Mus musculus: one gene and its partner. The protein of the gene in region 2 interacts with the protein of the main gene of each other region in a biochemical or structural test. Links are inferred from orthologs where the notes say so. Each region holds a gene or a part of one and is shown on either strand. Other genes may lie near its edges.

Evidence for each region.
Region 1: the proteins of Vegfa (region 2) and Nrp1 form a complex in vitro, tested with the Homo sapiens proteins (8 studies listed by BioGRID, with this or other methods). The link is inferred for Mus musculus from reciprocal best matches to the Homo sapiens genes VEGFA and NRP1.

Annotation. Positions count from the first base shown.
Region 1 is NC_000074.6:128,494,805-128,498,614, reverse strand, and holds part of Nrp1 (neuropilin-1 isoform 1 precursor), read right to left. Parts: intron 796-3,810; coding exon 524-795; intron 111-523; coding exon 14-110; intron 1-13. UniProt on the Homo sapiens protein: Cell-surface receptor involved in the development of the cardiovascular system, in angiogenesis, in the formation of certain neuronal circuits and in organogenesis outside the nervous system. Mediates the chemorepulsant activity of semaphorins.
Region 2 is NC_000083.6:46,029,514-46,034,088, forward strand, and holds the start of Vegfa (vascular endothelial growth factor A), read right to left. Parts: upstream 2,865-4,575; 5' UTR 2,378-2,864; coding exon 1,778-2,377; intron 1-1,777.

The DNA of each region.
Region 1 (3,810 bases), on a different chromosome or scaffold from region 2:
AACCCATCCTTACTTGCACAGTCTTCCTGAGAAATATGGTTGTTAATACTGATATCATCCACAGCAATTCCACCAAGGTTTCCTTTTCCGATTTCACCTTCAAAAATAACCTGAAAAAAAAAGAGATGATTTTCACGATATTTTCAAGTTCTGTCTCTTCAGCATCAATGTTTACACTCTCTCAGTTGAAGTGTTGGCATAAGTTCATGAGACTGCATGTAAGTTAAATTCATGAAATTGCACAAAAGTTAGTTATTCTTCTCTATTAGTGGTAGAGATGATTCAAACATGCAGTTTTCAAAAGATAAACTTTAAAAAGGAAGAAAATATTTAAACAAAAGGGATGCTATCTATGACATCTCAGAAATAAGTTATGATGAGGAGTATTTTTTCCTGATGTCATCTAAGAGACAGTGGGATATGTCACCAACCCAAACATTATGGAGGCAAGAGTTTAGGGTGGTAAAGAATTTTACACATTATCCCAGTGTCCTGAAAACCTTAGCCCTCCTTTTGTGCATACCTGATATAGTTTCAGAGATTTGTGCAGCAAGACACGTCCTTCTTTCCAGTGGTCTCCTTGGTGCCCAACCACCATCCAGACCAGTTGATCATATTCCTCTGGCTTCTGGTAGCGTAGTTTGACCCTCAGTGTACCCACATGAGAGCCGGACATGTGATACCAGAAGGTCATACAGTGGGCAGAGCTCTGGGAATAGACCACAGGGCTCACCAGGCGGGCTACTTTGCCTTTCTGATTTTCATCAGCTTGGGAATAGATGAAGTTGCCATCTCCTGCTGAGGCAAAACTGTGTGTCAGGGAGACCAGCAAAATTTTTACAGATCTTTTCTCTCTCTCTTGCCAAGTACTACCCAGAAACACATTCTTCTGGGCTGGGTACCAAGGAACCAAGCAGCCAGTGAAGAAAGCAGATGCAATTATTGGGAACCCCATAGGCACTGGTGGCCATGCTCAAAGAGGCTTTAAATAGACTCTGAGTACTGTTTACCCAGATCATGGTATCACAGGGAACTAGACTACATATTATATCTGTCTTCATACTATCAAAGGTAGACTCTAAGCACAGTCTATCTACAGACTTTGAAGAAAGTGTCTGACTAATGTTTAAGCACATCCATGTACACTCAGATACCCAGGGCATTAGCTGAGATACTGATTCTGGGAAGCAACCTGTTGGCTGCTTAATGTGTTTTTTTTTTCTATTACACTTTTCATTCATATATATACATATACATATATATATATATATATATATATATATATATATATATATACACACACACATATATATATGTATGCATATATATACACACATACATATTCTTGTGTGTAGATGCATGTATATATATGTATTTGTGTATGTTTGTGTGTGCACACATGTATGCACATGCTTGCTTCTATAGTCAAGTACATGCATGTGTGCAGGAGCTCATACTATGCTTGTAGAAGATAGAGAACAACCTTAGGTATTATTTTTCAGGTGCTAACCATTTTTTTTTTTTTTGAGACTGAGTCTTAACAACTTACAACTCCAAAAAAGGATAGGCTAGCTGGCCAGCAAACTCAGAGCAAACACCTGTCTCTAGAGCTAGGAAAACAAGTGTAAGCCACCATACCTGGTTTGTTTGTTTTTGATTTTTAAAAGATTGATTCTAAGGAATGAATTCATATCCTTGTGTTTACAAAGCAAGCACTTTTTTTTTCCTGACTGAGCCATCTTGCCAATTCCTAAACATCTTTAAAAATTGTTCTTATTTTCCCTTTAGTTCATGTTAATGATCTATGTGTGTGCCCAAGAGTTTGATTCTCATTTGCAAGCTTGCTTCTGTTTGCTGTGCTTCCGGCCTAAGAAGAAGTAAGTTTGCATATCTGAGGCTCATTTGAACATGCTGTTTTGGCAATGGTGATGTTTGTGGTGCCATAAGGACTTGCTGTTGTCTCTGCTTTAATCACCCCCAGTGGGAACGACTGTTCTTGCTTCCACCTGGTCTAAACACACAACCTGTGGGCCACTTTTTGCTCTATGAATAGGAATCACAAACTCCCACACCTCACATGATGTAACTGGAAATGTAATGTGATGCTTAGGTCTCGGAAGGCAGCGGGGTGCTTCCTCTGCTGGCCTATGGGCTTGTAAACCTACGAGGTACCTTTTCACTGTGCATGTGTGGGCATGTCCTTATGCTTTATTTCAGTAGTGTCTAAGTGTTTTAGTAAGCAGCGCCCTTTCCTTACTAGGCAATCAACCTAAGCTCTCATAGATGCTCTTATTAAGTCAGTGAATGGATCCATAAATTTCCCTGACTGTTTGAGTCATGTGTGAGTCTCTCTCTCTCTCTCTCTCTCTCTCTCTCTCTCTCTGTGTGTGTGTGTGTGTGTGTGTGTGATGATCAGAAATGTATGCTGGGCATTCCTTAATCAGTTCTCCACTTTGTTTTAAGACAGGGTCTCTTAGTGAACTTTAAGTCTCTGATTTGGTTAGATTGGCTGACCATCAGTGCCAAAGACCCTCTAGTCTCCCCAACAGTGGGATTATAAGTACACAAGGCCACACCTGGCTTTTTATGAGTGCTAGAGACATGAACTCAGGTCCTTGTGTTTGCATGAGAGCCACTTTACTATAGAACCATTTCCTGAGTCCTCACTGGGTTCTCTATTGCTCTTACAGCATGCCTCTGCCCCTGGGCACCCCTCCAGCCACAATGTGATGATTTCTACCTACAACTAGACATCAGGTCCTCCTCCTTATCCTCCTTCAGCACCCACGAACATTATGAAAAAAAAAGTCTATGCTCAAGTCCTTTGGGCAAAATGGTTGAGTGCAATGCACAATCTGTGTTGGTGAGTTCCAAAATTTTGAGTTCAACCAACTTCAGATAAAAAAATATTCCAAATTATGTCCATATTGAACAAATGTTTTTTCCCCTTAAACAACACATTGTAGGGACTATTCACATAACATTTGTGTTATATTAGGTACTATAATTAAAATAGAAATCTTTTTATCTAGAGGTAAATATAGGTAGAGTTTATGCAAATGTGTTATTTAATGTGAGGCACATATGGAAGCCAATTGTACATATATTTCCAGTGCTGAGCACGGCAGCTGCTGGGTAAAAGACCTGCTGAAATGACATTTTTTTTTTCAGTGAACAAAGGAAGAGGCTGGAATCCGTTATAAAGAGGTACACAGATCTATTCCTATAGTCAAAAGCACAAAACCCAATGGGAATCCTTTACATTCAAAATTAGGAATTTTACTTAAGTAGTAATAATTTAAAAATGCTTTCACATCCAATTTGCAAAGTTCATCATTATCATTGTTTTTGAGAAGGGGTTTCACTATGCGGCCTGGGCTGGCCTTGAACTTGTGGTCCTCATGCTGAGGGCCAGGATTCTAGTGAGCACCACTGTGCCTAGCTTCCAAATACTATTAAAAGTGCAGGGAAGGGGTTGCAGCTCAGTTTGTGCAATGTTTGCCTAGCATGCATTAAGTCCTGGCTTCATTCTCTAGTATCATAAATCTGGGGATTGTGGCAGATGCCTATAACCTTAGCAATCCAAAGTGGAGGCGGGAGGATCAGAAATTCAAGGTTCTCATCAGCTACAAGTGAGAACTTAAAGCCAGTTCTGGCATGAATGAGTCCTAGTCTTTTTTTAAAAAATCAGTGAAAATTCCGTGAGTGCCTATGTTCATGAGAGTTAGCAGGCAGGGGCTCTTTTCATCTAGACTGTTCCTTTTTAACAGTTCCGTGCCAGGCATGCCTGCTTGTCTCAGATGATCCCAT
Region 2 (4,575 bases):
TCAGGTTGGCCCTGGATTCTGCACTGTAGGCCCTCACTACCCCCTCAATAGCCCCATGACATTCTCCTTATTCTTCTGTCTAGCCCCCCGTGGAGAAAGGGAACAGAAACTTTGAACCCCTTCCCAGATGGGGAGGTTCTAAGGCAGGGACTGGCCAGGTGTCCTTCTCTGGGGGCCTCTGAAGGTCACACTGTGGCCAAGCACTCCTATCCTCCTCCCCACATGGAGGCCCAGAACCAAGGCCTTTGTGCCAGGGTCTGGGGAACTCTGGATGGTGGCAGGGACACCTGCCCTTCTCCTTCCTTCTGCCTCCTTTCCAAGAAGGCTCTACAACTGAAGCTTCGTGGAAATAAGCATGAAAGGACCCTTTGGTAGGCAAGTTGGGTGGGCAAGTTCGCAGTTAAACCACCTGCTCTCTGGGCATCGGGCTTTGCCAGGACAAAGTGTGTGAGAGATACTGACTGACAAGGGATCCTGCCAAAGGTATGGGAAAGGGCTGGTTCCAGGCTGCCCCTGTCAGAGCAAATATCAAGTCATGTTTCCAAAGGGGGGGTGGGGGTGGGAAATGGGGTGATGTCAGTCCACCCTTCGTTGATCCACCCCCCCCCCCGCAAAAAAAAAAAAAAACCTGAAGCACAGCTGTGAGGGGAGGAGGGAGCACACCTTCACCAACTCAAAACTTAGGTCAGCGTTTCCACAAAGAACCCGAGGGTGGGCCTCAGCACCCCCACGCCTGACAGTCACCGTCCTTTTCCTGGACCCTGGGTCCAGGAAAGGTCCGATGAGTCTTCGCAAAGAAAAGGAAAATATAAAAGGGTGGGAAGGGCTTCTCTTTTTACACCAGGCAGGAAATGGGGAAAAGGGGGAAGGGGCGTCGGGAAATTCTTCCTAGCGCGAGGCACGGGTAGAAGTTGGGAACGGAGGAAAGAGGTATGGGAGTTTCTCCGGGTCCCGGAGCTGGGGATACCTCCAGAGGTCACCTTCCTCGCGGAGGGCCGGTGGGGGGAGGGGCGCCGCTCGTCGCCCGGGTCTCCGGGCTCCGGCAGCCGCGGCTCCGGGAACACGAGGCCGGCCAGGCCCGGGCTGATGTAATCGGCTCTGCGCCGCGCGCGCCCGGCCAGGCGGGGGAGGGCGGGCACCGCGCGGGACGCGAGCGGGGACGGGAGGGGGTGGCGCGGTGCAGGTGGCCCAACAAGCTAGAGCGGTGGGAGAGGGTCCCCGCAGCAATCCATCCTAAAACTTTCCCCAAACTCACTGCAAGGGCCTCAGAGACCCAAACGGCAGTGACAGCAAAGCCCCCTCGGTCGCCCGCGCCCTGCCCCCTCCACGATCTCTGCCCTCCCCGGGTCCAAGGTCCGAGCACCCCCAGGCATGCCCGCTGGGCTCCGGACTCCCGCCCCCTTTGCCCGGACTTCCAGTTCTCCGGGGACCCGCGACCCGGAGCAAACTTCTGCCGCCAGCCTCGGCACAAGCCCAGCCCCCTCAGCCTCCTCCTCTGGCTCCCGCCCTCCGCTGCTCGGCCCAGATCGTACGTGCGGTGACTCTGGTGGGTGGGCAGGGCCCGCGTGGGCGGCGAGACGATCCTGGCGCCCTCCCACCTAGCGCGCACCCCCTCCCCCTCCACGTACGACGACAGAGGGGGACGCCTCGCGCCCGGTGCCCAAGGACCCGCGTGGGGCACGAAGCCCCCCACGCGCGCGCTCGCACGCACGCACGTCCCCAAGCGGGAGAGGCGCTCGCCACGGCCCGGCGACAGCAGACGGGCACGACCGCTTACCTTGGCATGGTGGAGGTACAGCAGTAAAGCCAGGGTCCAGTGCACCCAAGAGAGCAGAAAGTTCATGGTTTCGGAGGCCCGTCCGGGGCCGGCGCGGCTCGCGCTCCCTCTCCGGCTCGGACTGCGAGGCAGCCCGCTCTCTTGCGCGCCTTGGCGGGCTCCTCTCCCTTCTGGAACCGAGGCCCGGGCCGGGGCCTGGGGCGCGCGCGCGGCTGGAGCACTGTCTGCGCACACGGCCGCCTCACCCGTCCATGAGCTCGGCTCCTGAGAGCCGAGCGCCCACTGCGGCCCCCTCTCCTCTTCCTTCTCTTCCTCCCCTCTCTTCTCGGGCCCCGGCTTCTCCAGGCCCGAGCTAGCACTTCTCCCAGCTCCGATCGGTTTGTCTCCTGCGGCGCAGACCACGGCTACTACGGAGCGAGAAGAGCCCAGAAGTTGGACGAAAAGTTTCCGTGCAATCCCGCGAGCCCCGACCCCCTCCACCCCGCCTCCGGGCGCGGGCTTCGGTTCCTCGCGGCTCGCCGCCGCGTCCACCGTCGGCAGCCCGCCGGCGAGGAGGTGGGCGCTGGGGCTGGGGGCGGTGTCTGTCTGTCTGTCCGTCAGCGCGACTGGTCCGATGCAAGATCCCAAGGGGGAGGGCTCACGCCGCGCTCTGGCGGTCACCCCCAAAAGCAGGTCAGTCACTTTGCCCCTGTCCCTCTCTCTGTTCGCTCGCCAGCGCGCTCTCTCTGACCGGTCTCTCTCTCTCTTCCTTGACTTCTCTCTGGAGCTCTTGATACCTCTTTCGTCTGCTGATTTCCACAATCCGAAGTGATTTGAGGGAGTGAAGAACCAACCTCCTCAAACCGTTGGCACGATTTAAGAGGGGAATAGGAAGCAAAAATAAATTAAAGCGTAAAACAATACAGTTTAAGAAAAAAAAATTAAGAGGTTTGAATATCAAATCCCAGAGCACAGACTCCCGGGCTGGTGAGTCCGCTGAATAGTCTGCCTTGTCGCTGCGTCTCGCGACAGAGCTCCGCTGCCGCCGCTCAGCTCGCCCCCAGTGCCGCGGCCTCGCTGCAGCTCGGCTGCCCCAAGCCTCTGCGCTTCTCACCGGTAACAGCGGTGGAAGAAAAAGAGGAAATCTAGCTCCACCCCCAAGCCCCGCCCAGACCCGCCCCGGGGAGCGGTCTGGTGGAGCCAGGCACCGCCTTTCGGGGAGCCCCTAGGCCACTACCGCGAAATGGAAAGCTAAACCCCTTACCAGGGTCCACGGCCTCAAAATTATCTGTGCACCCCTTCAAACTGGGCTCAGGAACACACTGGGAATCCCAGAGTATTGGGAATCAGGGGAGACAGGAGAGTGAGGTTATATGCGGACAGGGTCTAAGAACAATTCCCTTTCCCAGGAATATAGGAGAAAGTAGGGGTTGGAAGGCGGAGAGCTGGCAGGGACGTATGAGGATAGGGACAACTAGAGTGACCCCTGGCTTTCTCCCCCACCTCACAAACACACTACACACACACACACATGCATGCACGCACTCACATTGACACACGCGTCCTCCCTCACGCAGACTCGGCTCGCCCAAGTTCACGATCTCCCCGTGATGGCCGAGCGCCCCCTAGTGACTACATTATGCACACCCCAACTCTTGCTCAAATGGCACGGGTCTTGGAAAGGGGGTGAGAGTTGATTCTTGAGTGCGGCAGACTTTGAGCTCCCAAATAATTGCGTGTTTCTGACATACACACACACCCAAAAAGTTGCGTGTTTGACCTCGGAAGCATAACTCTAGGTTTATATGTGGGGAGGGGGTTACGGGGGGGGGGGAGTATGCTTATCTGAGCCCTTGTCTGATCTGCAGTCATCAGGAGCTAGGGCCCTGGGGTGAATGGGATCCTCTGGGAAGTTTCCAGAGAGGCTTCTCTGGAGAGAATTTGGCACCAAATTTGTGGCACTGAGAACGGGAAGTGGAGTTCTGGAGTTAGTCAGTGGCGGGGAGTGAGACGACCTGTGGAAACCCACGTATGCACTGTGTAGTCTGGCAGAGCCCTGAAGGAGAGACAGCTGGGCAGACAGAGGCCCTTGTTCCTCCTGATCTCTCTCTCTCACACACACACACACACACACACAGAGATGTTGCCAGGGAACTGAAGCCAGGGTGCCAATGGGGGCAGAAGCGGGCCAGGCCGGCATGGTGATTCAAACCTACCCTAGCATTCAGAAAGGTAGGTAGGCCAGCTGCCCAGCGCTGCCGCCAACCCTCGGAAGGGTGGGAGTAGAGGCTCCCTCAGTTCTAGCCTAGGCTTACGGTTCATCTTCTAAACAGAATTCAGGGGTGTACTCTGTCCTCCCATTCTCCCTAAAACCCTTGGCTATTTCTCTATGCTTGCACACTTAGCCCGTGTGGCTCTGTCCCCTCTCTTTCTACTAAGTCCCCTTCTCCATGTCCTCAGTGTCTTCCTTAAGAGCTCTCCAAAACCCCCACCTCTAACCCACCCTTGGATATAGGAACCAGCCTGGAAAAATTCCTGGTTGGGCTTTGGCCCAGCTGCTCCTAGGCTCCCCTGGGAACAAGAGGGGGCTCCGATACCTGTGGGAAGAGAGGGACCAACCAGTCCCAGCCCTCACCCAGATCTGCTGGACTTCTGAGAAAGAGAACTCAACAATCTTCCTATTGCCCCCCCCCCCAGTGTAATCCACTATCTCCATCCCTCTGCACACAGTACTGAAGCTGGGTGGGTGCTGGCACCTCTTGGGCACCCCAATTCCAATGGAGCAGTAGTATGAGGATCTTATGAGGAAGGGAGCTGGC